Drosophila melanogaster: one gene and its partners. Changing the gene in region 1 together with any one later gene gives a genetic interaction. Each region holds a gene or a part of one and is shown on either strand. Other genes may lie near its edges.

What was found.
Region 2: of Hsp83 (region 1) and sina, changing one enhances a phenotype caused by changing the other (phenotypic enhancement), as found in Drosophila melanogaster (2 studies listed by BioGRID).
Region 3: of Hsp83 (region 1) and Raf, changing one suppresses a phenotype caused by changing the other (phenotypic suppression), as found in Drosophila melanogaster (one study listed by BioGRID).
Region 4: of Hsp83 (region 1) and lz, changing one enhances a phenotype caused by changing the other (phenotypic enhancement), as found in Drosophila melanogaster (one study listed by BioGRID).

Annotation. Positions count from the first base shown.
Region 1 is NT_037436.4:3,190,617-3,198,976, reverse strand, and holds Hsp83 (heat shock protein 83), read right to left. Parts: upstream 6,009-8,360; 5' UTR 5,610-6,008; intron 4,479-5,609; coding exon 2,325-4,478; 3' UTR 1,918-2,324; downstream 1-1,917. Other genes in the region: CG32276 (uncharacterized protein), read left to right, coding at 142-225, 546-656; CG14966 (uncharacterized protein), read left to right, coding at 1,457-1,879; CG14965 (uncharacterized protein), read left to right, coding at 6,547-8,220. UniProt on the Drosophila melanogaster protein: Molecular chaperone that promotes the maturation, structural maintenance and proper regulation of specific target proteins involved for instance in cell cycle control and signal transduction. Undergoes a functional cycle that is linked to its ATPase activity.
Region 2 is NT_037436.4:16,850,702-16,860,239, reverse strand, and holds sina (seven in absentia), read right to left. Parts: upstream 6,490-9,538; 5' UTR 5,715-6,489; intron 4,322-5,714; exon of another isoform or gene 4,256-4,321; intron 3,944-4,255; 5' UTR 3,823-3,943; coding exon 2,878-3,822; 3' UTR 1,528-2,877; downstream 1-1,527. Other genes in the region: sinah (sina homologue), read right to left, coding at 1-982; Rh4 (rhodopsin 4), read left to right, coding at 7,001-7,548; Zcchc7 (zinc finger CCHC-type containing 7), read right to left, coding at 8,024-9,538. UniProt on the Drosophila melanogaster protein: E3 ubiquitin-protein ligase that is required for specification of R7 photoreceptor cell fate in the eye by mediating the ubiquitination and subsequent proteasomal degradation of Tramtrack (ttk).
Region 3 is NC_004354.4:2,292,589-2,299,755, forward strand, and holds the start of Raf (Raf oncogene), read left to right. Parts: upstream 1-2,877; 5' UTR 2,878-3,370; intron 3,371-3,565; 5' UTR 3,566-3,765; intron 3,766-7,167. Other genes in the region: CG2865 (uncharacterized protein), read right to left, coding at 1-101.
Region 4 is NC_004354.4:9,281,704-9,288,504, forward strand, and holds the start of lz (lozenge), read left to right. Parts: upstream 1-2,945; 5' UTR 2,946-3,033; intron 3,034-4,083; 5' UTR 4,084-4,217; coding exon 4,218-5,079; intron 5,080-6,628; coding exon 6,629-6,801. Other genes in the region: c11.1, read right to left, coding at 1,090-1,246. UniProt on the Drosophila melanogaster protein: Involved in prepatterning photoreceptor precursors in the developing eye; in the larval eye disk it defines a subset of cells as an equipotential group that is competent to respond to the sevenless developmental signal and another subset that confer proper photoreceptor identity by positively regulating the homeo box gene Bar.

The DNA of each region.
Region 1 (8,360 bases):
GGCAACTGCAAAGCCACAGCTTGTTCCGTTTCATTTCGAAGTTATCAATTGCACGCAAGCTGCAGCCCAATCAATAGGCAATTAACAAACAATTCATTTGCGAATTTCAGTGAGATTGTGCTTCAACAACAACACAAGAAAATGGCTCCACCACAGAGAATGCGCGTCGCTAACGAGAAGGCCAGCAAATATGTGACAATGCGTGGCAATGTACCCAAATCCTCGGTAAGTTTCGCTTAAAACTATTAATTGAAACTATTCTGATTGGGGAAAGTGGAGATAGCAGTAAAATTGCGATTAGAATTGCTCGATAATCAAATGGCGAAAAGTGCCACGCCGTCATTGATTTTATTATTGGTCATATGTATGCATGTTTGTATGTGTGCGGAGGCTGGCGTGTGTATGAGCGTGTTATCGGCACTTCTGGAAATTCTGATTAGATGTTGCCATCCCATCGACGATTTCCAGTAATCTCTTAATGCAATATACAATATATTCACCATACAAGATGTGACAAGACTAATCTGAACTTCTCTTTTTCGCAGAAAACGAAAGAGGGTCAATATCCGGTGGGTCCCTGGCTCCTGGCGCTGTTCATCTTTGTGGTCTGCGGCTCTGCCATTTTCCAGATTGTTCAGTCGATACGCGCCGCGTAAGGAAAGGCTTCACCTCGCATAAGATACACAGAGAGCAGGTGCATCTGGAGGAAGATAATAGACCTTTCCGGAACCTTCACTTGCTACTACTAACACCTTCCCTAGCTTAATAGTCCCCGGCAACATGTGCAACCAGAGGATGACCCCAAACAACTTGGCTTTATTATCGTTTCTGCAATATCAACTCCTATAAAACACATACAAAATTTAAGTCCATTTAAAGCATTTTGCATTAATTGATTTAACTGTAAGCTCTGCAATGTGCATTCCTGCAATTCTCTCCTAAGCAACTGAATAATGATCCCCGATCATTTATAGGCGATAAATGCATTTTTAAGATGCTTCTCGGCGCAGTTTTAAATAGTGCAAAGTGTTAAAGCGTTGTTTTCTAATGCAAAGACGAGTAGAGAAGAAACTATGAGTACATAACAATGATGAATATATGATAATTTTTTACCTAATCATATTTTGTTTTAATACTTTTATTTACATGTTGTGGTGACTTCGGGGGGAATGTGTTTAGAAAACCGTTAAATAATACTCAACAGGAAAATAAAAATACATTTTTGAATCGTACTATTCATGTCCAATCTGTAAGTTACATGGAATGTAAAAATGTAGTTTTATCTTCGTTTCGTGAGTGAGAACTCACGAGATATGCTCATCCCTATATGTGCGCATCCCTGGTTTTCTCCACGAATCAGCTGATAGACGCCAGTAGACCTCGCAAAATTAAACACTAGTTGCTATTAAAATGCATTTAAAAACACAAAATATTTAAAATAATTGCCAAGAAGCTAATGCGCCGCTTGTTTACATCGGTCAACGCCCAAATAATGTCGAAGAGCAAGGGGAAATCAAAGGCCGGCGTTGAAAGTGCGAAAAACGATGCAAAAGCGATGCCGGCTAAGGAAGCCAGTCCGATTTCAGTCGATAAGAGCGGCAATATATGCATACAAATCCTTGCCAAGCCGGGGGCTAAGCAGAACGGAATCACAGGAATTGGCTTTGAAGGAGTGGGCGTCCAAATCGCCGCTCCGCCCAGCGAGGGAGAAGCTAACGCCGAACTGGTCAAGTTTCTGTCGAAAGTTCTAGGTCTTCGAAAGAGCGACGTTTCTTTGGACAAGGGATCTCGATCGCGAAACAAGATAATAATGATAACCAAGGGAGTGTCCACGGTGGAGGCCATTGAGCAGCTGCTGCGCAAAGAATCCGATTCATAGATTGTTTATTCCCCCCAATAAATACTCGCTCAGAAGTTAGATTTTTAAAACACATTTGCTTGTTGTTTATTTGGTTTTATGTTTATCATCGATCGGGTCATCAAACCTTAATTATATATATACTCGATTCTTTATATAGCTCTACCAACTAGGGCGCGTATGTAGTCTTTAGTTTTTTACATAAATTACTTGGATTCTAAATTATAAGTTCTTAAAACGACAACTGCTCTTGAATGTTCTGTGAGAACCTAACCATTTAACGAGTTATTCCTGCTTTTTTATGAGTTAAGCGTATGTCTGTCGCTTATAACGCGGCAAAATGTTAATGAATACAAAATTTAACTCGGCCGTAGTAAACTCAGTATAAAAGTTCGAAACGCAAGTAAATTGTGTATGTGAATGCGAGTGATAGAATGAATTTTGGTTGTTTGTTTCGACTGGTCGCTTAATCGACCTCCTCCATGTGGGAAGCGTCCTCTGTGTCCTCAACCAGCGAGGGGGCATCTCCGGCGCTCTGGGCATCGTCGGTAGTCATAGGCTCGTCCTCGTCGATTCCCAAGCCCAGCTTGATCATGCGGTAGATGCGGCTGGCGTGCACCTGGGGGCTGTCCAGCGAGAATCCAGAGGACAGCAGAGAGGTCTCGAACAGCAGGATGACCAGATCCTTGACGGCCTTATCGTTCTTGTCGGCATCGGCCTTCTGGCGGAGAGTCTCCACAATTGGGTGATCGGGGTTGATCTCCAGCTGCTTCTTGCCGGCCATGTAGCCCATTGTGGCGGTATCACGCAGAGCCTGGGCCTTCATGATGCGCTCCATGTTAGCGGACCAGCCGAACTGCGAAGTGACAATGCAGCAGGGCGAATCCACCAGGCGGTTGGACACCACCACCTTCTCGACCTTGTTGTCCAGGATGGACTTCATCAGCTTGCACAGGCTCTCGAACTTGGCCTTGTCCTCCTCGCGCTTCTTCTTCTCGCTCTCATCCTCAGGCAGCTCCAGACCCTCCTTGGTGACAGAGACCAGCTGCTTGCCCTTGTACTCCTTCAAGTGCTGGATGACATACTCATCGATGGGCTCGGTCATGTAGACCACCTCGAAGCCACGGGCCTTGACGCGCTCCACGAAGGCAGAGTTGCTGACCTGGTCCTTGGACTCGCCAGTGATGAAGTACACGTGCTTCTGGTTATCCTTCATGCGCGACACGTAGTCGGCCAGGGAGCAGAAATCGTCGCCGGAGGCAGAGGTGTGGAAGCGAAGGAAGTCGGCCAACTTGGCACGGTTGTTGCTGTCCTCGTGCACACCCAGCTTCAGGTTCTTGCTGAACTGGTCATAGAACTTCTTGTAGTTCTCCTTGTCCTCGGTGAGCTCCTCAATCAGCTCCATGGTCTTCTTGACCAGGTTCTTGCGGATCACCTTTAGGACCTTGTTCTGCTGCAGCATCTCACGTGAGATGTTGAGGGGCAGATCCTCGGAGTCGACCACACCCTTCATGAAGTTCAAGTACTCTGGAATGAGGTCCTCGCAGTTGTCCATGATGAAGACACGACGCACGTACAGCTTGATGTTGTTGCGCTTCTTCTGGTTCTCGAAGAGATCGAAGGGCGTGCGACGGGGAATGAAGAGCAGAGCACGGAACTCCAGCTGACCCTCCACGGAGAAGTGCTTGACGGCCAGATGATCCTCCCAGTCGTTGGTCAGGGATTTGTAGAACTCGCCGTACTCCTCCTGGGAGATATCATCGGGATTGCGGGTCCAGATGGGCTTGGTCTTGTTCAGCTCCTCATCCTCAGTGTACTTCTCCTTGATGGTCTTCTTCTTCTTGGCATCCTTGTCCTTCTTGTCGGCATCCTCATCCTCGCCAACATCCTCGATTTTGGGCTCATCAGTCTCCATCTCCTTCTTCTCATCACCTTCCTTCTTCTCATCATCAGCCTCATCGTCGCTGACCTCCTTCTCGCGCTCCTTCTCTACGAGCAGCTTGATGGGGTAGCCAATGAACTGGGAGTGCTTGTTAACAATCTCCTTGATCTTGCTCTCCTCCAGATAGTCGGTCTGGTCCTCCTTGATGTACAGCACGATCTTGGTGCCACGGCCCAGGGGCTCAGAGTTGTCGGCACGGACTGTGAAAGAGCCTCCGGCAGAGGACTCCCACACGTACTGCTCGTCATCGTTGTTCTTGGAGGTGACAGTCACCTTGTCGGCGACCAGGTAGGCGGAGTAGAAACCCACACCGAACTGACCGATCATGGAAATGTCGGCACCAGCCTGCAGAGCCTCCATGAAGGCCTTGGTTCCGGACTTGGCAATGGTTCCCAAGTTGTTGACCAGGTCGGACTTGGTCATACCGATACCGGTATCAATGATGGTCAGAGTACCAGCCGTCTTGTTAGGGATCAGCTTGATGTACAGCTCCTTGCCAGAGTCCAGCTTGCTGGGGTCAGTAAGGGACTCATAGCGGATCTTGTCCAGGGCATCGGAAGCGTTCGAGATCAACTCGCGCAGGAAAATCTCCTTGTTCGAGTAGAATGTGTTGATGATCAGGGACATCAGCTGAGCAATCTCAGCCTGGAATGCAAAGGTCTCTGCTTCTTCTGGCATCTGCAATGGATTTACAAAATCATTAGGATTAGTTATAGTCTGTGGGTTCAACACTAAGGAAAAGCAGCTGCATTTTCAGCAGCTGCTCCGGTTTTATTCTTTTTCTTTCTTTCTCTTTTGCACATGCCTCATTTAACATGCGCATATACAAGTACAGTGGTGGTCAAAATTATAGCATTCACTTTGCAACCCGTAAAATGGAATTTTAATTTCAATTAGCCAACAGAATTGATTTTAAGTTGCAAAATAATGTTTTAAATTTAAATATTTAAATATAATTATGCAAATTGGGTCGGTTGATAATTTTTCTACCCCTGCTGTGTGCAAACTCGTGTCTGTGTGAGTGAGCATTGCATTGAAAATTCGTACTTCACCAAGGAAGTTTGTGGAAGCATCTAGAAGCCAAAGGAAAACTAATTCGCCTAGCAAGTTGCTAGTAGCAACCAACCAATTAAAATAGAGCAAATAGGATTAAAAAACCGATTTAACAGAATTTGCTTACTGACGCCACATTTTTACTTGAAAGTATTAGTCATGGGCGTGCATGTGTGCGTATGCGGCATGTGCAATTTAAAATGGGAATGCAAAGAAAGCACGTGTAATTGTAAATGAAGGACAGTAATTTATAATTAAAAAGCCTATTTGGCACGCTGTTTAATTCATGCTAAAGCATAGAAACCTCTAGAACATTCTCGAGCGGCAAATGTGATTTGCGCATTGTCACCCCCTAAAAAGAGCGGCATAATTCGATTTAGCGCTAAAAGACCATTGCATTAAACAAAAATTAATCTTGTATTCTATAAACCACATGTAATTGTAAATAAAGGACAGTAATATATAATTAAAAGGCCTATTTGGCACGATGTTTAATTCATGCTAAAGCATAGAAACCTCTGGAAGATGCGTCCAAGCGACAAAAAATAAAAGAAACCGGCATTTTGAGTTAATTTGCACGTTGCCACCTCTTAATTAATCAAAAAAAATTCTTAAACTTGGCTCCTAGAAATTTAAAATCAATATCTCACATTTGGGTCAAGAACATTCGAGATGCACAGGACCACGCAAAATGCACATTTTGGCCATAGCCACTGATAAACTATTCACTCTTTTCTTGTAATTTGCATTACTCACCTTGTATGTATGTTTTTCGTTCTATTCACAGAATAAAGGTAAAAATACAGATATTTTCACTTTGCTTTGTATAGAATTGGAAATTCACAAAACTTTTCAGACGCTGCTTGTTGTTACGACGCACACCGTACGAAATTTTTTTCAAGACTCGAACCGGCAAACGCCGCGCGTCTGCTTTTATAGAAAAACCCGACCCGAACTGGAAGTCTCTAGAAACTTCTAGAGGCTTCTGGATGCCAGGGATGCAACTTCCTGTGAATACTAGGGTAGATCAGTGTTGTGATACGGTCGAAAAGTGCGCAACCTGTGCGGGCGAATTCAAAAATTATACTGAACTAAGTTTGGTGGAAATTCGTCTAAGTGGTCCGAACGATTGAGCAAAGCCCACTGGGATTGCTTAAAACATTACAATTGGATATCAAAACGCCCACTAGGCTTATACTGTAATTAGGAAAATGGAAAATTTAATTGTTCCCAATATTATTTTACTTGTTTTAACAGTAAATAATAAACAAATCAGCTTATGACCTGTTAATTTTTATTTATATTTATGAATACTTTTCTCCACCAGACTATCGATATTTCCAGAGTTTCAGAGACTTGGTGGTGCAAGCTGGTTCCTCTGGAATAAACTAGTTCCATTTTAAGCGGACGGTAAAATTTGAAATCACTTGAGTGGGTTTGGGGAACAAAAATTGGAAAGTTTTTGTTGTAATTAGCTAAAAAGCAGACATTTCACATTCCGGAAAATAATTGCTTCTGTGCAAAACCTGCTACAAGCCCAGTCAAGTAAAAAATCTCTCATTAATTAAGAAGTGTCATATCGATCATTTGGTTTCGGTCAATTCTGTTATCGATGCCTCCCATCGATATCACCAGCTGACGCTAACACTTCCACCACTAATAACATAAAAGTTGTTTGCTTATATTTAAACAAATGGGCGGCACTAAGTGTTGTTTTCGTGATTGTCCGGTGGGTTCTAGCCGCAACCCCAATATGCACTTCTTCAAGTTCCCCGTTAAGGATCCGAAGAGGTTGAAAGATTGGGTCAGGAATTGTTCAAACCCTGACGTTTCAAATGCACCGCCGTCCAAACTGGCAGCCAAAACAGTTTGTGCCCGGCACTTTCGAGCGGAATGCTTCATGAACTACAAAATGGACAGACTCATCCCAATGCAGACGCCCACTTTGTTCAGGATCAACAGGGATCTGGCACTAGACTATGAAAATCTCGACCAGAACGGTGAAGCTCTTCTCGTGAAGTTGACGCCTCCAAAGCAGCAACACCTAATACCACCTAAAGATTTCGAGTGTCCTCTGGGATTCGTGGATGGTGAGACACAGAATTTGGATGTTGTTAAGAAACGAAATACAGTAGAGTTGACAGAAGAGGAGGAACCGCAAGGGAAAGACGAAGCCGACGAAGTGCTGGCTACGGAGCAGGAACAGCCGGTTGTACACACGGAGAAAACAACGGTGGCGCATAAGAGTTCTACAACATCAACAAGCGCTTCGGCTATGCCTCAAAACATTCTAGATATCATAAGTCAACTTCAGCCTTCATTGGGCATCAAATTGATTAAAAGACCAGTAAAGCGTCAATCAGGAAGCGAGAATGAGTTGTTTCAGCTTGAAGAGCAGCTCCCAAAAGAACAAACTGATGATACAAGCAAGATGCGAACAGTCACCAAGGAATCAGAAAAGCAAATTAAATCAAAAAGTTGTATTATTGACGTTATGAAAATGCCAAAGCTTGCCGATAAATGTCAAGAAAAGCAAGTGCCAACTAGAAAAGAGTACCGACCAATTAAAGGGACTGTGGTTAGAAAACGTGGGATGCAGGAGGCAGATGCTGATAGACTGAACGAAGATGAATCCACCAAGGAGCAGGCTAAGAAAAGGAAGCTACCCCAAGAAGCACAAAAGACTGACTCCCACGCTTCACCTGAGAACGGTACGATATTGAACCGATATACACAATTGCAAGAGAAATTCTGGGATGAGCAGAAGACTCCGATGTTGGAGAAACCCACCCAATCCATCCAAATTAATCTTAGTTCTAGCAAAGAAAATAGTCAGAGTGATTCCATTTCCGAAACCTTATCTGAATCTTTTCTAAACCTTGAAGAGAACATACCACTTAGTACTGACAGTGAGGACGAGTCTGAACCAGATGAAAAACCATCTTCATCGGAAGATGCCCATCGCGATAAGCTTCTTCAGGAGTACGATAAACTGCAGGCCGAGTTTGAAAAGCTGTCTGAGGAGAATGCCAAACTAAAACGACTGCAAGCGGAGTCCCCGTGGACTTCAGCTGCAATCAAACCCACTGCTCTTTCTCTAAGCAAACCCCAGCTATACATGGCAATAAAGAAATACGTGGGGCCCACGATGGCCGCATTGCTGCGCATGGAAATGTTCGGCGGCTCTGAGGAACGCACTTGGAAGGATGACGAGCGAGAGTTTGCCACCGAACTACTTCAACTGGGCGACGAGGTGTACAAGTACTGTTGCGACGAGTGGCGCTTCCGCCTGCCCTCGATGCGGATTGCACGCTCCTGGCTGGAGAAAAAAAATACGGAAAATTCGGAAGAGTTTCTAGACTTATAGTTTATTTTGCCATTATAGACTTGGCAATATAAGGGGTATTTTACTGATAAATTATTTTATATATTAGTTTTAAGCATAACATCAGTTCCGATGCATCTAATAAAGTAGGTGTATATAAAAAACGCTTTTAAATCCATTTA
Region 2 (9,538 bases), about 14 Mb from region 1:
CGGTGTGCTTATTGAGCACCAGGAAGTCGGCGTTGGTGAACGAGGAGAAGTTCTCACGGATTGATCTTGGCTTGGATTGCCAGCGGAGAGTGCGATTATAGGCCTCCAAGGAGATGTTATACACGAACTCGGCGGCATCCTTCATGGAGCCGATCATCCGACAGGCGGTGAAGTACTGCTGACAGTCCTCTCCCAAATTGATCTTCTCCAGCGAGAGGAGGAAGTGCCGCCCATGGCAGGACTGCACCATTGTCCAGTCGAGGGCACCCTCCAGATTCACATTGGTGGCCAAAAAGATGATGTCGTTGCCCTCCATGGTGATCACGTTCTCGTGGGAGCTCATCAGGTGCTGGTATACGTCCCTCAACGGTCCCTGCCAGGAGCACTTGTCATCCGGATACGGGCAGAAGTACGGACGGCATTCGCAATCCTCCTCGTGCTTGGTCTTCTCTGCGTAAGAGAGCCGCGCTCTGCAGCCGAAATGCGAATGCTTGCAGGGAAAGATCAGCTTGGAGGCCACCTTCTCCATTGCCAGGCTGCGGATGTTGGTCATGAACACCCGGCAGACGGGGCAAATGGTCAACTTTGAGCGGCAGGTGGAGCAGATGAGGTGGCCACGCGGGCACTGCATAATTGGCGGCATTATGTAGCCAAAGCACACCGGGCACTCGAGCAAAGCCATTAGAAAATCGTCTCTTGCACCACTGCGTGTTGTGTCCAATGGCCCAGTGGCCACAATTCCCGACTGCACAGCCACCGAGTCCTTCCGCCTAGACGGCACCAGTTCTCCGGCAGCGGCTGCGTCCGGGGATTGCCGCTTGACCACCACAACGTGCGTGGTCTCCTCCGGCGGCACGACCAACGCTGGTGCCGATTGACGACGAGTCAACATTTCTCCGGATGCCGTTGGAGTGTCAATAGTCCTTTGCGGACTTACCCGCTCCGGCCACGATAACTGGGGGCGTGAGTTGCGAACAGACATCTGTGCTTCAGCCAACAATCAATGCGCAAGCTATTAATCCTAAGACCTAACAACCAAACGATTCTGAAGAATGAGAGTGCCGATGGTTTTACTTTTTTTTTACTTTTTCTGAACACTGAAATTTTGCTTAAAAGAATTCGAAAATACAATCTGTACCACAATACAACGAAGCTAAAAGTATAATGAGCTACTTTTACTTCGGAGCCTACTTGCTTTAAATCATTTTAAAATCAGCTTAAAAATTTATTTTTGAAATTGGCCTAAGTATCCTAGTAAGATACCAATCCAGCTAAATCTTTAAGATGCTTCGGCGGTGCACCACTAAAAACTTGTGCCATCTATTATTGCAACGTTTTAAAACGCATTAGAAGTAACCCAAGTATCTCAAAGATAATCCAAATTAAACAGATAACTGATTTAAATCGACAAGTTTATAAAGTGGCGTAGCTCTTCTTTGTAATTCAGCTTCCCCCAGATTAATTTCAATAATTAACGAGCATTGTTTACTTTTACTAATCATGTTTATTTCAGTTTTGTAGTTTTGTGTCTGTGTGAGTGATCTCATATGGTAGTGGCGCGGTAAATCGGCGCATTAAAAGCTAATTACGGTGCAGATGCTTAAAATCATTAATTTTTCTTCCGTTTTCGATTGGGAAACGTTGGCCGAATGGAAATCAAAACCAAAACATGAGCCAAACCGGGGAGATCGTCTTAACTAGATAGAAATTTAAACATTAACATTGCTTTATATGTTTGGGGGGACTTGGGGGGAAATGGGAAGGGGCAACTGTCTTTTTAGCATTGCGAAAAAAAATGTTTTCTTTTTTTTTTAGTGTGTTTTTGTTATTTTGTGATGGTTTGGCATGAACAAAATTGCGGGTCGCAGTTTCGTTTAGGCTGCAACTTTCAAACAACTCTCGAGTTATTACAGATTATCGCTATCAAATATTACTTTTCTTTGTGGGTTATTAGGTTTGTTAATTTCGTTAAACTGTTCGTTTTACTTATTACCATTTACAAGTATTGTATAAAATAATTTACATTAACTAAACTAGACTTTGCAGTACATGTTCGAGTGGATGAGTGACCTCCTCGCCTTTCTTGCTGTTCTCCTCGTTTTGGTGAGTGGGTCTGTGTGTTCCTAGCGTTCACTGTAGTAGGTGGTGGGCACGTGGGCACGCGCAGGCAGCTCTGCTCCAGGTGTGTGGACCTTACGAACTAAATTAAACTAAAGCAGAACCCCATGAACTAACAAAACGGGTAACACTGAAACTTTGAAATATATAGTATTGTGTGTGCGGTAACTGAAAAATCATGTCCTAGAACTAGAGTACCAATCGAACCGATTAAACATACAAACATACAGGTCAGCCACGATTTTCGCATTCGACAGGAAAGTGTGTTATACAAATCTGCGAAATCTCACCAAAAATATTTGGCATTTTTCTGCAAACGAGTGAGATTTACACACAGTCATGTGCAAACTAAAAATGAAAATACGAATTTTAAACGCGGTTTTACAGGTTTAACGAACGTGTGCAATAAACACTGAACATCACTTAGCAATTGCTTTAATACGCTTTCCATTTCGCTTTGGAAAATTGTGAGTGTCTTAGCTTAAAAATCAAAGAAAACTGCGATATCGTGCCGAATGTGATAATCGAAGCAGCCTGATATTTCCATAGATATATATACATATGCATGTAAGTGGCTCTTAGAATAGAGAATCATTTTTATAAAACAACTCTGCAAAACTCTTTCTTCTTAATCTCCAGACTCACAATCTGTCCACGAGTTAGACGCCTGATGCGAACAGAGGGCTATAAACTATATATGTATTTGTATCGGAATAGTAAACACAAGAAATGAAAGAACCCGACGAATTGACAGTGCGTTTAGACCAGAGATATGGTCACGTTAATGCCCAGGTTGCCATTGTCGGCGAACAATTGCGCAATCGACGTGTCGAACACCAGGCAGTCCGAGTTGTGAATTGCGGAAGCGACGCCCTCGTGGATCGAACGCGGCATTGCCTCCCAGGTGAGCCGGCGTCGGTTTCCGTTCAACTCCAGGCGATAGACAAAGTTCTCCGCTTCCTTGCGCGACCCGATCAGCTGAACGATGGCAAAGAACTGCTGGTGTCCGTCGTACTTCTCCTGCTTCTCCAGCACGAGCATAAAATGGTGGCCGAAGCAGGACTGCATCATTACCCAATCGACGGCGCCGGGCAGGTTGATGTCGGTGGCCAGGAACACGATGTCCTCGCCCTGCAGCGTTGTGATGCTCTTGTGCGACATCATCAGATGCTGCATGACTAGGTCAAGCGGGCCCTGCCACTTACAGCTGGCGCCCGGGCACGGACACAGGTAGGGCCGGCACTCGCACGTCTCCTCGTGTTCTGTCTTTTCCGTGTAAACCAGCGAGGCGGTGCATCCGTAGCCGGAGTGCTTGCACGGGAACTTGACGTTCGAGGCAACCTTCTCCATCGCCAGGTTGCGGATATTCGCCAGCGGACCGCGGCAGGTGGGGCAGCAGGTGAGCTTGGAGCGACAGGACACGCACACCAGGTGCCCGCTGGAGCACTGCAGGATCGGCGGTAGCACATAGTCAAAGCACACGGGGCATTCAAACAGCGAGGTCAAGTCGGCGGACATGCCCGCATCACCGCCACCGGCGGACGACAGCGAGGAGCTGGACGACGAGGATGTGTTGGCCGAGGACGTGTTGCCGGCACTGGAGGATCCGGTCGAGGTGCTCGTGTTGGTGGCCACTCCCGTGGCACCGGCTCCTGCTGCTGCTGCTGTCGGTTCGCGGCGCTTCGGGTTGATTTTATTGGACATTGGAAGGGTTCTCGCAACGGCACGAATGTGTCTACAATTCTTCTGGGTCCCTGCAATTCTCGCCAGGTTCAGGTTCTTCGCCCTCCCGGTGGCTTCGGCAATGGCTTTCTTGTGCTTCTGTCTAAAATGAGATACAATCACAGGTCAGTGAGTAATGCGGTCAATTTAGTCATAGCATATGTATAATTTTTTTTTCTTTTTTTTGTAATTTTGTTCGTTCAGTGATAAGAAACTCCAAAAAACAATAACCTACAAAACCATACAGATATCTTAACAAAAATAGTTTGTTTCGATTAGGCTTAGTTAATCCAAAAATAACATATATCAACCAACAAAAAAAATCACAGTATAACACACTGCATAAATGCTGGTTTAAATTTGAACATATGTTATGAGCTTTCTATCGATTTTGCGGCTTAAGTTCGGAGCATACTATTGATTTGAATGTTCATTCCAAACTATTGTGCCCACTGGGACATGAGTAATAGGCAAAAATATTTTTCCATGAAGTAATAGAAATGAAATGAATGCAAACTGTGTAAGCAAAATCTACTCGATTGCTATAAAAAATGTTGCCCAGCAAAACTACTATCCATTTGTAATAATTTAATTTGAGCCTTATTAATTTAAAACTTATTTCGCGTAATCACTACTACTAGGTAGTTCGTTTTTCGTGCCGCCCAATAGAAAAGCCAAAGCGATTTATCATTCCTGGCCTTAACCTTGCCGTGGATTCCCAATTGTTGTAATTACCGAAAAAAGAAAACACACGCATTTGCGTGTATGGGAATTGCATTTAAGCAATTACTTAAAGCGGAACGTATCGAACCGGAGTTGGTCTGCGAAAAGCAAAGACACAGCCCGAGGTCGCCGTCACGTCTCCGATCGAAATGAAGGCCCGATTCCGATTCCAACTCCGAGCCCAAGCCCAAAAGCCTCTTGGCGGCACGTGTGGAACGGCGCAAATATGTTGGCTCTTATCAGGCGGAGCTGACGGAGCCGACGCTGATGGACGGCCATTAGGGACGTCGACCCATGGCGGGATTGTGCGATGGTGGGTGTCGTGCTGGTTGTAATGGGTGTGGTTCGGTTTCACGGGTTTGTCCACTTTGGACAGAATGGGCACACATTAGTGTGAACAATATGCTGTGGGTGCTTTGGTGCGTTTATAAGATAAATATCAATATAATAATATAAAGTTTTCGTAATTGTTTAGCTTTGATGTACAAACAAAACTTGTTCTCTTTCCTAACGGGAATATATTTGCTATATGATTGCTATCAAAATTTTGTGTGAAAGGAGTTCAGTAATATTGTTTATATTCGAAAACAAACTCAAACCTAAAAAATAAATAATATGTTTCCTTATTAACCCAAAACAAAAACACATGAAACGCATGAACATACAAATGTTTAATACTTTACCCTATATATTGGAAAAATTATTTGAACATTTGCCATTATGAAATTCGTACCATCGCCCGCATAAACGTAATATCGTAATGAAGAGTGCGTAACGTAACAAATGCAACGAGGATGTGTAGGGGGTGGGTGGCGGTAGGGGATGGCAGCCGCGGGGAGGGAAACTCACACACTTACAACACAGACACAGATCGCACACACATAATTAACAGTTCGTTTACGTTGCGTACCGTTGGAAACGTTCATACGGGGTAAAAATGGTAATTGCCACAAAAGTCATAGCCATGAATATAATTAACTTAGCTTCTGCTTTCATGAGTTGCAAAATGGTAAAATAGAAAACGTAAGTTGCGGAGCAAAGCGAAATGCGACTATCTTTCTTTAATTTATGCCGCCATTAAGTGCGACTAGGCTGCTGTTTAAACAGCAACAACAACTGCGAAATACATAATCGTTGATATGTAAACTTACATGGCAGGCTGCCTCCAAGAAATTGTGCCGAGGTATTGGTGCCCCGCTGCGTTGGTGTGTGTGTGTATGTGTATATTTTATTTTCTTGTTATTTTTTTGTTTCCTTTTTTATCAGTCAGTCAGCCTTTACGGCCATGCACACACACACACGCATACAGCCAGCATGTGTGTGTATATATCCTAGGTGCAAGTTCCGTTTTTTACGTTGCAATTTGTTATTTTTTTAACCGCATATATATATATAACCAATGCAGGTGGTTTTGCTACTGCACACGCACACTGGGAAAATGGAAAAACTGTTTTGATTGCTTTTCGCCTTTTCGTTCACCTTGCACCGAACCGAAACTCGAAATTCAGGCGTGAGCTAATTTCATTTGGCTTTTTATCTAATTTTCTTTAACGCGACCCGCACACATACACATTTATTCATATTTAGCTTTACTAGTTATTTTCGCCTTTTCTGCCTCTGTGTTGCTGCTGCTGCTGATGTTGTGTTGTTGTTGTTGCTGCACAAAAATAAACCATTTGCATTTACACACAGGCAGCGAAATGGGTTTTTTTCGTGTGTCTCACTTTTTCTATATTGCGTTCTTTGATCGTCGCAGTCGGCGTTTATTGCACTTGCCCTTGCGCGGTGTGGAATTCAGTCTTTTTCGGCATTCTCCATGTACTTTGGGCGTGATGTCTGCCTTTAGCTGGTTAATTAATTAATTTACTTTACTATACTGAGTTTCTTCTAATGTCCGCGTCGGTTGCAGAGATGGAACCCCAATTGTCGTCTATTCGATTCCAGATAGTCGATTACACGCAATCGGCAACATCGCAGTGCCTCCTGGTAGCTATCAATTGCTGTCATCGATTACTTAACAGCCTTGCCACGTTTGTCAAATTAATTTAATAACAGGAAAACATCAGTTTTGAAATAATACAAATCGAATCAGGCGCATAATTTTTAAAGGATCAAAGTTAATAATGTAGTCTGTTACTCTTATTGACAACTAAAGCCTAATTTTTAAAATAATTCATTAATAAATACTTTTTTATGATTTATAGTATTTCCAATCAAATAATATAGGCAATACAAAAAATTAAATAAAAATATTGATTGGTGATACCTTGACCTTGTGTCACATCATTGGCGGGAATGTTTAAGAACTTAGTTTGGATCGGGAAATTCGAAGAAACAAATTTACGAAAGAGTAAAATTGCGTTTTACGAATATGAAGTAAATAAATATCCTAATACCAAAAATCCCATTAATCTTCTTCACTTTTATGCATTTCCAGAGGGCTACCTCACGTCCTGCTCCTTCGACTATCTTTCGGACAACTTTGACACCCGGTTGTTTGTGGGCACCATCTTCTTTTTCAGCTTCGTGTGTCCCACGCTGATGATCCTTTACTACTACTCGCAGATCGTGGGCCATGTCTTCAGCCACGAAAAGGCCCTACGGGAGCAGGCCAAGAAAATGAACGTGGAGTCGCTGCGCTCCAATGTGGACAAGAGCAAGGAGACGGCGGAGATACGGATTGCGAAGGCGGCTATCACCATCTGCTTCCTGTTCTTCGTGTCGTGGACGCCCTACGGCGTAATGTCGCTGATCGGGGCATTCGGGGATAAGAGTCTGCTTACACCAGGAGCCACGATGATCCCGGCCTGCACCTGCAAACTGGTGGCGTGCATAGACCCATTCGTCTATGCCATAAGTCACCCCAGATACCGCTTGGAGCTGCAGAAGCGCTGTCCCTGGCTGGGAGTCAACGAAAAGTCTGGGGAGATCTCTTCGGCGCAGTCCACGACCACCCAGGAGCAGCAACAGACTACCGCTGCATAGAACCAAGGACAACTCTACTCTAAGACAACTGACCATGTAACATGAAAGCCAAGGAAAAAGTATAAAATGCCGACAACGAAACTGTATAACATTAATTTTATAATTTGTAGTGTGACATTCTTGAGTTTGAAATAAATAAATAGTAACTTATTGCAAACGAAGTAGAAAATGAGTCCCGTTTTTTATTTGAAATTCGGTTCTTTGATGTCATTATTTTGTTACTATTTCTACACTTACACTTAAAAATTAAATAACAAATTCAACTCAAATCCTAAACACATTTACACAGTTATTTGGAGCCTCTTCATTCCTAATAAAATCATAAAATCGAGTTTTTTTTTCAAAATAGTCAGTTATGTATTTATTCGGTTTTTGGGTAATATCTTTAAGATACCCATTGTGAAATCTGTTGGCATTTGTTAAACAAAATGAAGGTGACCCACCAGGAAATAAATTCCATGACCCTGGCTAATCCTCAGTTGCACATCAGGGAATGCAGTCGAATGACCGCTCGGTAATCGTTGTGCGACAGCAGACCACGCTGCGATCGCTGTAGCACTCGTTTCAGCCGCTCTACGGTCTCTGTGTTGGAGGTCATCTTGAAAAGATCATCGAGGTACTTTAGCGATTCGCGTGACCAGAACATGGACGGTTTGTTGGCGTCCTTGTTGATGCTGCCAGGTTGATTGTGATCCATTTCACTCAACAGACGGTCACACTCCGGATTGAGAGTATGGCGCAGCTGAAGATCGGATCGTGATCGTTGCTGGAGATTATTGTAGGGCATCTGGTCGATCTGTGGACGTCGTAGATTCTGCTGATATTGGTTGTTGTCTTGCTGCTGATGCTGCTGCTGTTGTTGCATACGTTGCTGTTGCACACGTTGTTGCTGGTGTTGCTGTTGTAGACTTTGCTGCTGTTGCTTTTGCTGCTGCTGCAAGCGTTGCTGTTGGTTTTGATGTTGCTGCTGCAGACGTTGCTGTTGCTGTTGCTGCTGCCGTTGTTGATTTTGTGTTTGCTGATCCAGGGCTTGACGTTGCTTCTTCTTTGACATTTTAGGAGGTGGTGGTGGAGCCATGTCCTGCCGAACTGGTGGGAGAGGCGTTGGCGATGGTGGCCCCTTACTAGGCGATTGCGGCTGACTCTGCGTTTTCTTTTGTTGCAGTCCCAACAGCACAGGATCTATGTGCAACGAGGGCAAGCGATTCTTTTGATCCAAACGTCCATAGCTGTTTAGCAGAGAGTCGTAATTCGGATGCGGATATGACGAGAAGATCATTCGCCAATGCTCCTCGATCTCATTGCGCAACTGTGGCGTGGCGTGTTCATCTGGCGAGAAGTCATCGATCAGGCGACGCAATAAGACTAGCAACTGATCGAGATGTGTTTTGCCATTCAGGAGTCCCGCCTGGCCGACGAGGATCATGTTAAGCTGGCGGCGCTTTTTTTCTGCCATCTTAAAACCGTTTTTGGTGTTCATCCCCTCTAGCTCCTTGATGCGCACGTAGTGGCTCTTGGCGTTTCCTAGATTGGTGTTTAGACTGTTGATTCCATCCCGCAGAAAGCGGATCAGCACATCAATACGTTTGGGGGGTTTCTGGCTCTGGAACTCGATGCTCTTGCGCTTGACTTCCTGACTGCGTCGAAGCAGTTTCACTTGCAACTCTTCCTGGTGCTTTTTAAGGCCATATATCACCAGTACATAACCGTAGTCCTTAAAGTCCATCCGCACGCTTACATGACACTGTTTGGCGGCTGCCGCCAGAAAAGTTCGGCCCTCCGCACTGAACAGGTACTCGGATTCTTCGCGCGCCATAATGATTTTGCCCTCGCTTGGAACATCTGGCAGTTCTTCACTGGAGTCCGGATCGGGCGTTTCGTCAGTGCGTAAACTGGTGCTACTGGAGTTAACACACATGGAAATTCCCTGGACGTTAGAGGATAGTTCAAAATCGTCTTTACTTAGGGGTATGACATCGGGTAGAGTCCC
Region 3 (7,167 bases), on another chromosome or scaffold:
TCGTCGCTGCTGCTGCTGTTGTTACTGCTGATATTGCTGTGGTTGTTGTTGCCGCTGCCGCCGTCGTTTGCAGATGCGTGTGTGTTTGTGGGCAAGGTCATTGTGCGTTTTTCAAGCAAGTGTGTGCCTTGTTTGCTGGCTTGTTTATGTGGTTTTCTTTGACAGACAGAAAACAACTTTGCTGCTTTGATTTGCAATTTAATTTTGATTCGAGTGATTTTCGATAAATTATTTGAAACAAGGAAGTCACACCACTCGGCTCACATACGCTCTCTTTTGCGAGCTCTTTTTGCTCTCTTGCACTTGCTGCTGCTGGTACTGCTGGTGCTGCTTCTTCTTCTGTCTGACTTTGCTTTTTCTTTTCTTTTTGCTGATTTCTGTTTTTCTTTTTGTTGTTGCCTTGCGAGATTTCACTTGGCTGTTCACCGTTAGTCGAGCCTGCCGCTTTTGTTGTTGTCTTTGAAGTTTGGCAAAATTCAAAATAATCCAGGACTTTTGAATTTTTGTGTTTTATTTTTTTTTTTTTTTAAGAACTTGCACTTGCTTACGCTATGTAGTCAAACACAATAAAAAAATTCAACAAAAATTGTCAGATTTGTTTGTTTAGTTTTAGGCACACAATTGACTCAAAATTGCAGAGGGGTCGGGGCTTCACATTAATTGTTTCTATTTCTTAGTGGTCTCTTCTAATTTTTCGGTGGCCGCCTGTTGAGGGTTTAAGGTGAGGGGTGAAGAGAACTTTGTGCTTGGTCACCGTGGCTTACTGTTTCGGTTCCTGTTTCAACCGCACACGTCCGCACGGTTCTCGCGTTCGAAACGAAATAAAAACGCAAACGCTAAATGAAAGACGTTCGCTCGCAGCCGCTGCCGCAGTGGCGTCGCTGCCTCTGCCCTCGGTGGCAGAGCGCACAGATGTTTGCGTTCAAACGGAAGTGGCTTAAGAGAGCGCCTAAGAGAGAGAGAGTGAGAGAGCGAATGGCCTACGTGCGTATTTGTACATGCATACACACAGCTGAGGCAAACAAATAATAACACCTAGGCGCTTAAATAAAAGTTTTTAGGCCAATCGTCTCAAGCTAAATGATTTGATTTACTTTATATAGGTGCTCTGTATGAACTAAGTTAATTGACATATTGCATTAACAATCTTTACAGACACAATAATCTTAGTTCCAACTTGCAAATTGCTAACATAATTTTTCCAATATTCCCACATATCTTAAAACTGTAATTACATTTTCAGTGCTATTCTCTCCACCTGCACTGTACATGTGTATGTATATTTGTCGCAAAGATTTTTACTCATTTGTAACGGAAGCAAATCGCTGGTCAGTGGGTGGTGTATTTGTGTTGTCGTGGGTGTTTGAGTGGTTGGGCGCTTCGGTGATGAGCATAATCCGCATAGTTGTTGCTCCTGCCCCTTTATTATGTAAAAATAGTGACTTTGGCTGGATTTGGCTATGCAAAGTACTTGCTAAGGCAATCACCTACACTTGCGGCAACTGCTAATTGAGAAATCCACACGGCGCTGACATGGAATCATTCGAATCCATTGAAATTGCCAAATTAGGCGTGGGGGTAACCCCTTGAACTTATCGGCTCGGCTTAACGGGTTTAACAAAATTAAATACACACATATGCGCATGTATACATATGTTCATGCTTGTAGAGTGGCTCCTATAGTCTGTTTTGCGAATCAGAATCCAAGTAGAATAGTTTTTTAAGTGTTGTCTCAAAGATGTATGCATACATGGATGTATGTATGTATGTGTGCTTATGACTCTGTAGAAGGTCTATAAACTATGTATTTTGAGGTTTTGAAATGCGAGCTCGAATCAACCCCCTTCCCCGTTTCCAGCTCGATTCATCCTCTTCAACAAGTTCATCTCATCATTTACAGTTTTAGCATGATCCGAAAAATAACAACAACAACAACGACAACAACAAAAGCAAGAAAGTGGGCACAAATAATCGTAACAACAACAATTGTGAGGTCAGTTTGGCACTAGTCAGCGTGTGTGATTATGTGCGCACTTATGTCTGCGTGCATGTACATACATACATATGTTTGTGTGCGAGCACAAAGAGACAATGCAAATTTGCACTCAAACAAAGAGAGAGCGAGTGCAAGTGCGAGTGCGAGAGAAAGGGAAGAGTTCATGAGCGTGCGTTGTGAATGGCTGGAGGGGTCGAGTGCTGTGAGTGGGGGGATCTTTGTTTATCATTTTTGTGTACTATTATTAAGGCGCCGCTGACGGTCGATGACGACATACACACACACACACACACACACACGCAAATGCAAACATAGAGTTTGCACGTGTTTGTGCAAAGTGTTTAGCCGCAAGAAGTAAAGTTCTCGTTTTGATTTTGTTTATTCAAAATTGAAATTCCCAGAAACAAAAGCTCCCATGACGATGATGATTCACATGCCAGACGCTGCGGGGAAAAACATCAGGAACTTTATCAGCTAATTGTGTCACAAGAGGACAAATAAGCCAGAAACATTTGCCTGCGCGCGTTTCTTGGTATAGTGCCATCAACTCGATCTCGATCTCAGTAGTTCATCTTTTATAATGCCCACACACACATACATATGTACATATATGAGCATATGTACATATGTACATAAGTCATATGTACATATATGAGCATATGTATGTACATAAGTCATATGTACGTACATACGTTTTTGATTATCTTAAAAAATTGTAATCACACGTACTCCTGCCATTTGACTTAGACCCACTTTCGATATTGACAAATTTTCAATGGTTTTACATTTTTTCCCCACCTCTATTCATAATTTCTGTGTCTCTTGTGTTGCTTAAATGGGCCGTTTTGATTTCTTTCGCGTCTCATTCCAATTCCATCCCTCTTCCATTCCCATTGCCACACGCTTGGCGCTCTTTTGCATTTTCTTAAAGTCGCCCAGATAAGTTCGGAATTACGTAATTAAGCGGCAGCAGCAACAACAAAAACAACATAACCAACAAGCTAACAATTAAGTATTTATTGCTTTCAATTTGCTGCCCGATAACAAAAGAAGCCAAAAAACAAAAAGGAAAAACGAGAGACTGGAAAAAACAAGCAGAACAAAGTAAATAAAAACCGAAACGGACACACATACACACACACACACACCGCTACCTGCGTCGACAGCGGCAGCGAAATCAGCGCCTCGCTTCAATTTTATTCCGTTTGAATTTGAAGATGTTTTTAGTGCACTGCCATTAAGTCCTTAGCACGCGCTTTTATTTCGCTTCGTTTCAATGTGCAGGTAGGAATAACAAAAAGCGGAGGATGGGAGTGACAACGAAATCGAAACTTTGCAACAAAATTGCATTTGAATGAGCAGCGGGGGCGCGCGGTAATTTCAATTATCAATAACATATTTAAATTCCCCATTCTCCTCCCCTTCTATTATCCTCTGTCCCTCCTTCCCCCCTCCACGGACTCCTACACCTTTTTTAGTCGCTCTCTCAACTCTTGATTGCTCTCTCTCTCCCTCTCTCTGTGCGATGGGAACGTTCTCTTTGCCTTTGCATCGGCCACTTCACTTCAGCGGAGAGCACAGTGGGATAAATTGGCAGTTGATGACCCATTGTTGCATTATTGTGTTTTAACCATAAAGCCAACAAATGCTTGGCGTTCAAGCCCTTCATGGAGTAACGCATATCAACGGATTGTCGGGGATTATCCAACGTCTTAAAGTCAAAATCTTACAAATCGCAGTATTTACCTGGCAAACGTGTTAATCCACAGGTAAGTTGGGCTGAAACCACCCTAAGTCAATATCAAGGGTTTTTTTTTAGATCTTTCTAAAGTTTAATTGTACGCATGTCTTAGCTTCGAATTCTTGTCATCCGAAATGCTTTGTTGTCCATTTGTTCTTGTTCTGGCCCACTGTGCCGCGTGTGAATGAACGTATAAAAAGTGAGAGCGTCGCCTGCCCGACTCATAAACGAAAATCAATGACTCCCAATGCGCGTACCCTTCCCTCACCCCCCTGCGGAGCCCAACGCTTTTTGGGAGTGATAAATGCCGCCTCAGCGTCGTCAGCAGATTTCAGCCTGCGCATGTTTGTCGGCCCGCAAACACTCGCAAACACACACACACGCTCTTCCCGTGATGTTTGTTGATTTGGCTGCATTCAAGAAACGACAGTGCTTGGGGCAGTGGGCATTGTTAGACTTTTAGTCGTTTCAACTCTACTTTCAGTGGGTATCATCCGCAACCAAAAGGAGGAAGGATGAACATTGCATGTGTGTACATACATATGTACATACGCAGTACGTAGTACGGATTACGTATTACGTATGGGCAGTTGCCATTTATGCAAGGTGGCTGTTCCTGCACTCGAACACATGTTTGTGTGGTCATTTGTAATTTGGTCAGGCGAGCAACAAGAAAAAAGGATAATGAAAGGATCAAATGTGCGTAGAACGTACATATAAAGGGTGTGATATCACAATTATTTTCGATGACTTCGTTTAATGTTGGAAAAGTAGACGGGAATGCATTACATCGAAGTGAACTATTTAACTTTGGATAGAACTGTTGTTTTTTGTAGGCATTTGCATTTCTCGCCGCTTCTTCTGCTCCTCCTCCTGCTCTTCGCTTTGGCGTTGGCGAGAGAGCGCCTCGTTGGTCTCTTTGTGTGTTTATGCTTTCAACATTGATACGTGCCACTTTTCGGATGCAGACTTGCGAGAAGCAGCGGGGGGGGGGGGGGGGGAAGAGGAAGTGGCAGAAGCTGGTAGACGGGGGCAACGTGTGGGGACAGCTGGGTGAGTTTGTAATTAATTGCGGCCTTGCCTCCCCTTCACCGCCAAACATCCTCATCCCCGGCAGCCAGGCTCCCTCGCTCGCTCAGGCAAACTCTCTCGCTGAGAAACCAGCCGCCAACAGTTTGTTTTCTTTTCTCGCCGCTCTCATCGTCACTTCCGACTCGTCGGGGGCAGAGGGTGGGCCAGCGGCATACTCTTTGTCTAGTCGCCAATCTCCCCGCACTCCACTTCATTCATGAAGCACAAAGTGTACAGCAGACACTCGCTAAGTGACTAGTGTTTCGTAATTCATTAAGATTTTTGTTGGTTTTCTTCTCTCATTTTTCCCGCACCAATTCTGCACTATTCACAAGTAAAAATGGCACCAACTCTCTTATTTGTGGGCACTAAAACGACCATGAATCGTCGTTCGGTGTTCACTGTACCTGCTGCCAGTAGCCCAAAAACGGACAGTGGCTGAGGCGTCAGCGTCGGCAGAGCAAAGAAAGCGCGCTAGTTACAGTTACAGTTACGTTACAGAGGGCCAAAGACAATGCTAGGCTTGGTTAACGGTAATTACAGCGTTTGTGGGGGGGGGGGGTGTGGTGTAGTGCTCGGGCGTAGCTAGGCAGAGGGATATTTGTTAATACATATGTAGCACTCGAATTCTTTAGTTGGTTTATAATATCATCAAGAATGAGGAAAAAACTAGCTAATTTGTTGATAAATGTTAAGATGCCCCTCTGTTTTAAGTCCTCACTAAGCCCATGAAAAGCACCGTTAATTGAGTGGGATGATCCCCATTGAAAGCGCAGTACTACAGCTAATTCCAATACCACTTTCAATATCCAATTGCTCGCCTTTCAATCGTCGAAACGGTGAACGAAGAGGAGAAAAGATAAGGGTATGTACCGAAATGTGGAAATACCCGAAAGGGCCATTGGAATATGGGATATTGAACCCTAATCGTGAAGACCTCGTGTTTTCTTTGACTCATCAGCCGATTTTGCGATAATGCGCTCTTTTTGGTATCCGTTGGATGATACATAAATTAAATACATAAATGATAACTTATAGAAACACCATACACAACTGTTTAGAAATTTGTGTCAATCACTGTGACTCACTCATGATTGGTGGCTCTATCCACTTGCAACTGCGGACTACGGACTAGGCTAAGAATTGCTTAGAATCGCTTAGCACTGAGAAAAATATAGGTGTTGTTTAGATTTGGTGCTCGGTTCCCAGGACACTCTCCCCAAATTGTCTTTAAAATACCGCATCGCTTGTTTGGAAACATGAAAAACAAACCGCAATGTTTTTCTTGTTGATTATGCATACATACATATGTATGTATGCATGTACATTCGTTTTGCGGTTAGTGGATTTTTTTTGTTTAAGTACCAAAGCATATAGTGATCCGAACGGCAAAACAATGCATTGCAGCATAATAACCTCAAAAGACTTCAAATATTTAGCTACCAAAAAGCGGTTAGCAACAACTACAACAACAACGACCCAAGGGCATGCCTCTTCTTCTTCGTCATTACTTCTTTTTCATTTCGTTCGTCATCTCATTTTTTGTTTCGGTTACTTGTGGTCTGCGATCGAAACACGAAATAAAATCTAAAAGTCGATGTCGAACTCGAAGTTTCGTGCGAGTACGAGTGCAGTTTGCTGGAAGGAGAAGGCAAGATGAAGTTTCTCGCTCCTACTCGCATTATCGTCGCATTGTTGTGTTTGTTTCAAACTATGTTTATGCGTAGACTTCAGGAACTAATTAATTCGTTAAATCCGAATCCATTCACAAATTGTCGATGCTTACACGCTTTCATTTGAATCGAAAACAGACATGGGTTTCCTTACCTCACAATTTCAGGAAACGAGCGGCGCATAAACATTGTAAGAATGCGTGTTTGCCGCCCTTGCTTGCATATGCGTGTATGTGAGTGTGTGTGTGGTTAAATGCAGTTTTGCCTTGTTATTGTTTTTCTGTGGCACGTTTCGATTTGGATTTTTGATTTGTGTGCCATTCGATGTGAGATGTACGTAACGTTGGCCTAAGGTAACGTAATGCGGGCCCATTCTTATGTTTTGCCCGCAAGTTGCAGTCAAACGAGGAGTATTTATGATTTAATTAATTAAATTATTATCGAATATCAATAGCTCGTCAGTTACTGTCGCTCGCTTGTTTGCTTTTTTTTTACCAGTCGAATAACGTCAGAGGTTCGCAGAGCGTCACTGGCTGTGACGTCACTAATGGCTTATCAACTTGCCGACTTTTGGTCGATTTTATTCTCTCTTGGATATCAAAACTGTCGTAAAAATGTGTGGCTTTTATTTTGGTGCTCTTTCTTCCACGGCTATTTCTCGTATTTTGAAGTCGATGGAAATATCG
Region 4 (6,801 bases), on another chromosome or scaffold:
GGCTTGTGTTAAGTCAAAGCTAAGATATCGTTTAAAACAAATGACTAATTTCAGCTAGAGCTAGCAAATAGCAGAACAATGGACTACACTCAGTAACACGAGTAACTAGATCAAAGTCAAGTTAACACTACATAGAGCCGTATTTACATAAGGTGCACAAACTGCAAAGATAGCAGAAGTGGCAAAAACCACATTGATTCACGGATTTAAATGGATGATAGGTTGATTTCGAATTAAATTATATGAGCCATTTTACAACATTGAAAAATGCATACCCCTATTTCATTGAACACAACTGTGGGCACTTTCAGTACTTATATTCTGATAAGAATTCAAATTGTCTGACGCATTCGCATAAATTAAAGAGCTTCACATCATATAAGCATCTATCAATAAAATGAAAAAGGCTAGAAAATGGCAAAAACCAAACGAAATGCTGGAATCAGCTGATTGGGATGGTCAAAAATACACGTCATCCCAGAGATACAAAAGTCCAATTGGACTGGACAAGCGATACTCTAGAGGACTTTTCGCATTGCAATGTTATTTTTGTTCTTATTCCAACAATTAGCTGTAAAACAAAAAAAAACACACACTTACGCATGCAGATGATTAATCAAATCGAATTGAGTGCAATTTGTGGGTGTAATTGTGAAATGTTGTTGTATTGATTTGTCTTGCTCATAAACGTGTTCTAGATGATTTTTTAGGGCTTCACACACTCAACAGGTCCCCATAATACACACGTACATAGATACGAAAATAGAGTTATTTAGCTGCTCTCCTTTCGCTAAAAGGATTCCCCGTTACTTTTGGGCGCTCATGTGTGCGTTGTGCCTAATGCGTAGTTCTATTTTTAGAACAGGACAAAAGACTGCGCTTCGCCTAATCACAAATCCCAATTGGAGTGGGTGGGGTGGACGGGCAAAACGCCCATTTCACGCTAAATCGCTCTCAGCACTTGTGCTTGTGTGTGTGTGCGCTTTCTAATAAAAGATTCCATGGGTCCATCTTTATCTTTATCTTTATCTATGGGATTAGGCAGTGTTCCCTTTGTTTTCATTTTCATTTGCATTTTCGTTTGCTTACCTTCCAGAATCGTTGGCTTATCATTGGGCGCCGCTGTGGCGGTAGATGCATCGGCATTTCCAGTGGCGGCGCTATTTCCAGCAGCTGATTTGTTGTTGGCGGATCCTCCCCCTGTGGCAGCACCACTACCACCGCCGCCAACCCCTCGGCCGTCCATCTTCTTGGTGGAATTGCGCGTTCTCTTCCACTTCTCCAGCTTAACGGGATTTCAGACAGCGATTAACTTTAACGCGCACTTCGCGATCGCGGAAAAACTCGGAAAAACAAGAGATTCACTGCGTTGCGAAATTGTTTGTGTTTAAAACGGGTGGCTGCACTCACATAGGGGAAAAACGGCTGTGGAAATTTTAGTACGTTTTTTATCAACACCATGGACTAGTTGGGCTTCCGAACATGGTGTGTGCCCTCACTGTTCAGTGGTGGCGCAAACCATAGATGACCATAAAAATGAAATTCAAATGTACTGTGTATAAAATAATAGTTATGCATACAGTCTCGTTTTATTATACGGAATTAGCAATTAAGTAAATTTTAAATTTTAAGCTACACAGGCAGTACAGCATACTAATACAATATTAAAGGAAAAAACGCTTTTGAGGTAGTTTTGAAAGTATTTGAGAGCAATTGAAATGCTTAATTTTAATCACTTGATAGCACTTCTGAAATTAAATAGCATAGACATTTGATTTTCTCGCAATTTCTGCCCTCGCAGATAAGCTGACGTTCTTCTCACGCTATTATATTCCCAGCGATAAGAACTATTTCCCTTCGATGTGATAAGTCGGAGGTAAATTTAAAATAAACACTTTTTAAAATCATAAGAACTCTGCGTTGTTATTTTAATTCGATATCAGTATTTCGACCACAAACCAAGGCTGAACCACAAAATATGGCCCAATGATAGTCTCTTATCACGCCTTTCCTTCGCTAAAAAGAACACATGTCATTTGGAATCCTTGTTTTCTTTGCGCTAGCAACAACACACAGTTTTTAATTAACACTTTTTGCGATAATAGCAGATTTGATAAGCATGTTAAGTATCAGTTTTAAAGTAGATTCTCTGATTTTCATCTCTAATATCCAAAATGTATCTATATGAATACAATTTTCCATAAGTGCGTTTTAAATACATGTATGTTAAATTTTAAATAAAATAATAAAAAAAAAAACACAACTTATTTATTTTCTCATGAAAATCTAATCATATCCAGCTCCTAAATATTTTCGAAATTTCCCGGCTGAACAAGAGCGCCGCTCTTAAGTCGTCACGCTCTCAGCTGATTAAAGAGAGCGCGCTTAAATGCGATTCCAATTGGAAGTGGTTGCAGCCGGTGGTGGATGAAAATGTGTCCACCAATGGCGCGCCTCAAATGCCATGTCCACCTGACCAATCAGAATCCGGGGGCGGTGCCAAGTGCAAGGGAAACGCAGGAGCGAGCGAGAGGGAGAGCAACTGTTTATTTGATTAAGCATTTAAATTCTATTATTTTTAGCGAAATTTATTAAAAATTTGATGCAACAGCACTGCGTGGAATGGTGACTTGTCACAATGCACATACTAGGCCATGCATTTACAGAAGAGCAAGAGAGAGAGAGAGAGAGAGAGAGCGAGCAACTTAAGAGACCCAAAACGCCCCGGCCAAAGAGAGTCGTTCTCGTTCCAATTGGCTCGCGAGGCAAGTGGAAAAACGATTGGATTCGACTCAGAGCCGAGCTCAATCGTCTCGCGAAATTCAAGCGGCGCAGTCAAAAGTTAAAAGTCAGTTTCAGTTATGTTTTGGAGTACGACGCGCGAGCATTATTGTTTCCATTGTTAGCGAAGTTTTTAATCGACTGAAAGAAACACAAGAAAATAACACCTCGCTTACGTGTTAACCCTTTTTTTTTGTAACTTGTGCTTAAGTCACTTAAAGAAATACCGAAGAAAGTAAACTAAGTGTGTGTGTAAGTGTTAAACAAAGTAGTAAACAAAAAGCGCGCCAAAATCGGCTAACTTTTAGTTATTAACTCGAATTTCGTCACCAACTAAATTTAAACAAAAGAGCGACACAGTTTCGCCAGAAACTTGCATTCAAACATATTGTTAAACAGTTTTACATTAAACTAAACACAAACCAAAGTGCTATTAAGTGCAGTTAGTAACAAAATAAAAGTGATAAATGGTGACACAAACGAATTAAGGCAATGTTTTTATGACAAAAACTTAAGTTCATATTTTTTAAGGCTTTATTTTGCGACTGTGAAATAATTTGTTTACTTTGTTGCTTGTTCTCAAACAAATAATATACAATAGTAATTGTAAAAGCTTCTTATACATTGTTTGAATAAACAAATAACTGACTCTTTTACAACCATTTATGATTACTTGGGAGATCAGTTGTGAACATTAAATGTTTATATTGTACTATATTGTTTTTACACCGATTCCCAGAAATATCATCAAAGTTAAACTCGAGAAAAGGAGGCCCGTCTGCGAATCGGGAGTCAAACATAGAGTATTACTAATTAGCCGAGTGAAGTGCAAACAATAAAAATATCCAAATCAAACGAAATCAAATTTAATTAAGTTCAGAAATCATCTGGCAAAAGCATGCTCAAAAAAGAGAAAGAAAAAACAACAATAGCAACAAATGCACCGCTAATTCCTGTGACTAATTTATCAAAGTGCGAACTAGCAAAATGTCGATCGTCGTAGTACTCGCAGTTATTTAATATGTATTCAGAAAGGCAAACATATTTTTAATCATTTTTTAAATTTATATATATTGTTTTTTGCAATTATTTCTTTATTTAAACGTACGCCAGTGAACTGTTTCTATATGTACTTTAATTAAATTGCTTAATATGAAACAAATTTGAGATGTTGTCATGGATTGTTTTTAATGAATCGATCGGCATTTTAAGTTTTCAATTAAACACGAATCTTTCTCATATCGTAAGTGCAATTGCAAACAATTGTTAAGTACGCTTTTTTTTTTCTGTGAATTCGTTTAGAGATTAGAGTTTATTGATGAGTGAACAAAAGACACCGCCGGAGCGAAGTGTGATAAGCGCTTGACCTGCGACCCGCACACACTGCAAGAAAAAAAGGGGCAAGCGAGCGGATCAAAGGTCACCGCCGTCGACGAATGCATTTGCATCTCCTGGCGGCAGAGAAGACGCCTCCATCTCCATCTCCAAATCCAACTCCAACTCCATCAGCATCTCCATCTGGGCATACGGGCGCTGCTGGGGAGTCGCAATTGGACTTGGCATCGCAAACGGAATCGCAATTGCAGCTGGGCTTGCCATTGGCTTCCGGATACGGACTCGGACTCGGATTGGGACTGGGCTTGGGATTGGGACTGGGCCAGGAATTGGTGGCGGACCACAGCACCACTGTGGCGCCCGTCAGCGTTGCCGGTCCCGGCCGCCTGGGTCGCAGCATCAACGGCAGCGGCGGCAGCCACCACCATCACCACCTGCACCACCACTACTCACCGTACCACCACGCCCACCCCTACCACCCACCGCATCCGCACGCGCCCCACCACCACCACCACCACCACCCACCGTATCCGTATCCGCCGGCAGGACCACATCCGCCGGCCATGGTCACATCGTCATCCACATCGCCGACGGGCAACGGCTGGAGCAGCTCCACCGGCGACTTCAAGGGCATCACAGCGGTGGCGACGGCCACTGGCGGCGGCGTAGGTGGTGCCACCCAGGGCGCCACTGCATCCACGGGCGCCACAGCCGCTGAGGTTTTGGCCGTTTCGAGTAGTGCCAGTGTTGGCAGCAGCTCGCCCACAGGTGGCGCCAGCAATGGTACAGCCCATAGTGGGCATAGTGGACACACCGGCGGTCACAGCAGTAGTACCGCCAGCAACAACAACAACAACGGTGCCAGCAATAGCAATAGCAACAATAACAACGCCGTTCACCAGGATCTATTGTGGATGGAGCGATTGGTACAGAAGCGACAACAGGAACATCCCGGCGAATTGGGTGAGTTGTTGGTGGGATATTACCAATAACCTAGTAGTAACACAGTCTGCAAAAGGGTTAAGGATTAATAGCTACCTTAATGTCCTTCAAAATCAAAGTGAATATGAAGATATAGTCTAACTGGATTTGTAATTTCCCGTGAACAAAATTGATTGAACAGAGGGATTTAGCTTACTAACTGTAAATAGCAAATTCTTTGCTACCAGATTCCCAATATGATCTATGGTTCTTGATATAATATATCTTATGAATATAAGATTGATAGATAGATATATATATCAAGGCAAGCCTCTGCGGAGACAGCTCTTCCATTCACAAGGTATCAGCATCTTTAGCTCGTGTCGAGGGGATCTGGTGGATGCTTTGCAGGTCTGTTCGATAATCCGATCCCCGAAAGGTGGAGCGCACATTCTTGCCACATCCTTGCACAATGCACTTCTGGGGCTTCCACATCGTGGCAATCACGATCATCGGACGCAGCCTTATCGGATTCCATGGGTATGATGATCGTGATGATGATACCGATGGCGATGATGATGGTGATGCCAGTGAAGATGGGACTGGCATCGCCGTCGGAATATGCGTAAATTGATATCAATAATTGTTATTGATATCAACGCACGAGTCGTTCCCCTTTTTTATTTTGTTAATGCCACCTTTTTTTTTTTTTTCTTATTCCTTGCTGCCCGTTGAACTTTCCTCCCGATTTATCAATGATATCAATGACCCAGAGCGAAAGCTGCTAATGAAATCTCAGCTCATCGCACCGTCAGTCTTGAAATTAGCTGGGGAATCCGCAAACTGGTTATCCTATATGATTTTTTTTTTCACTTCTGAGTCCTTTCATAACTTGTGCTCAATGGATAGCCTTCATATCGAATTGCAACTATCAGGACTTTACACTCTTGTCTTAAAGTAATATTTATATTCCATTCCATTTGAGTTAGTATCGTACCTATGGGATTCAATCAGGATCTGGATGTGCCTAGTCTATTACAATTTATTATTACACAGTTTGGTTTTCAGGGCAGCGCACATTTGATTCCTGACACCTATGTAAAACATGATTTCCAAACCTACAGCGGTGTGACAAATTAAATTTAATGATTATCAGCAATTAGATGTCCATATTTCGGTCTATTTTGCGCGCCAGTCGCGAGTAAATAAATCATTTATTCAGCCAGCCCAGCTCTCCACACTTTGCTCTACTTTCGACACCAGGTCAACAGTCAAACGTCATCTGATAACCGATAACCCCTTCCGGTCCGGTCCGTTCGTTCCGTTCCGTTTGACATCTCCCCGCTCATTAATTAATTATGCACCGCCGGATGGCGAGTCGATGGTCGAAGGACCCAGTATCCAGCATCCTGCATCCAGTGTTCAGTATCCACGATGATTGATATTTATGGACCGACACGAAACTATAAATAATTGAATATTTTTGATGGCCGTGAAAATGTGATTTTAATCAGCGAACCCTTGGCTAATTAAAACCAAACTGATTTATCCTGATTTTTTTTTTTTTTTACCCACTTTCTTCATTTTCCAGTGCGCACGAGCAATCCGTACTTCCTGTGCTCCGCCCTGCCCGCCCATTGGCGCTCCAACAAGACGCTGCCGATGGCCTTCAAGGTCGTCGCTCTGGCGGAAGTGGGCGATGGCACCTATGTCACCATCCGGGCGGGAAACGATGAGAATTGCTGCGCGGAGCTGCGCAACTTC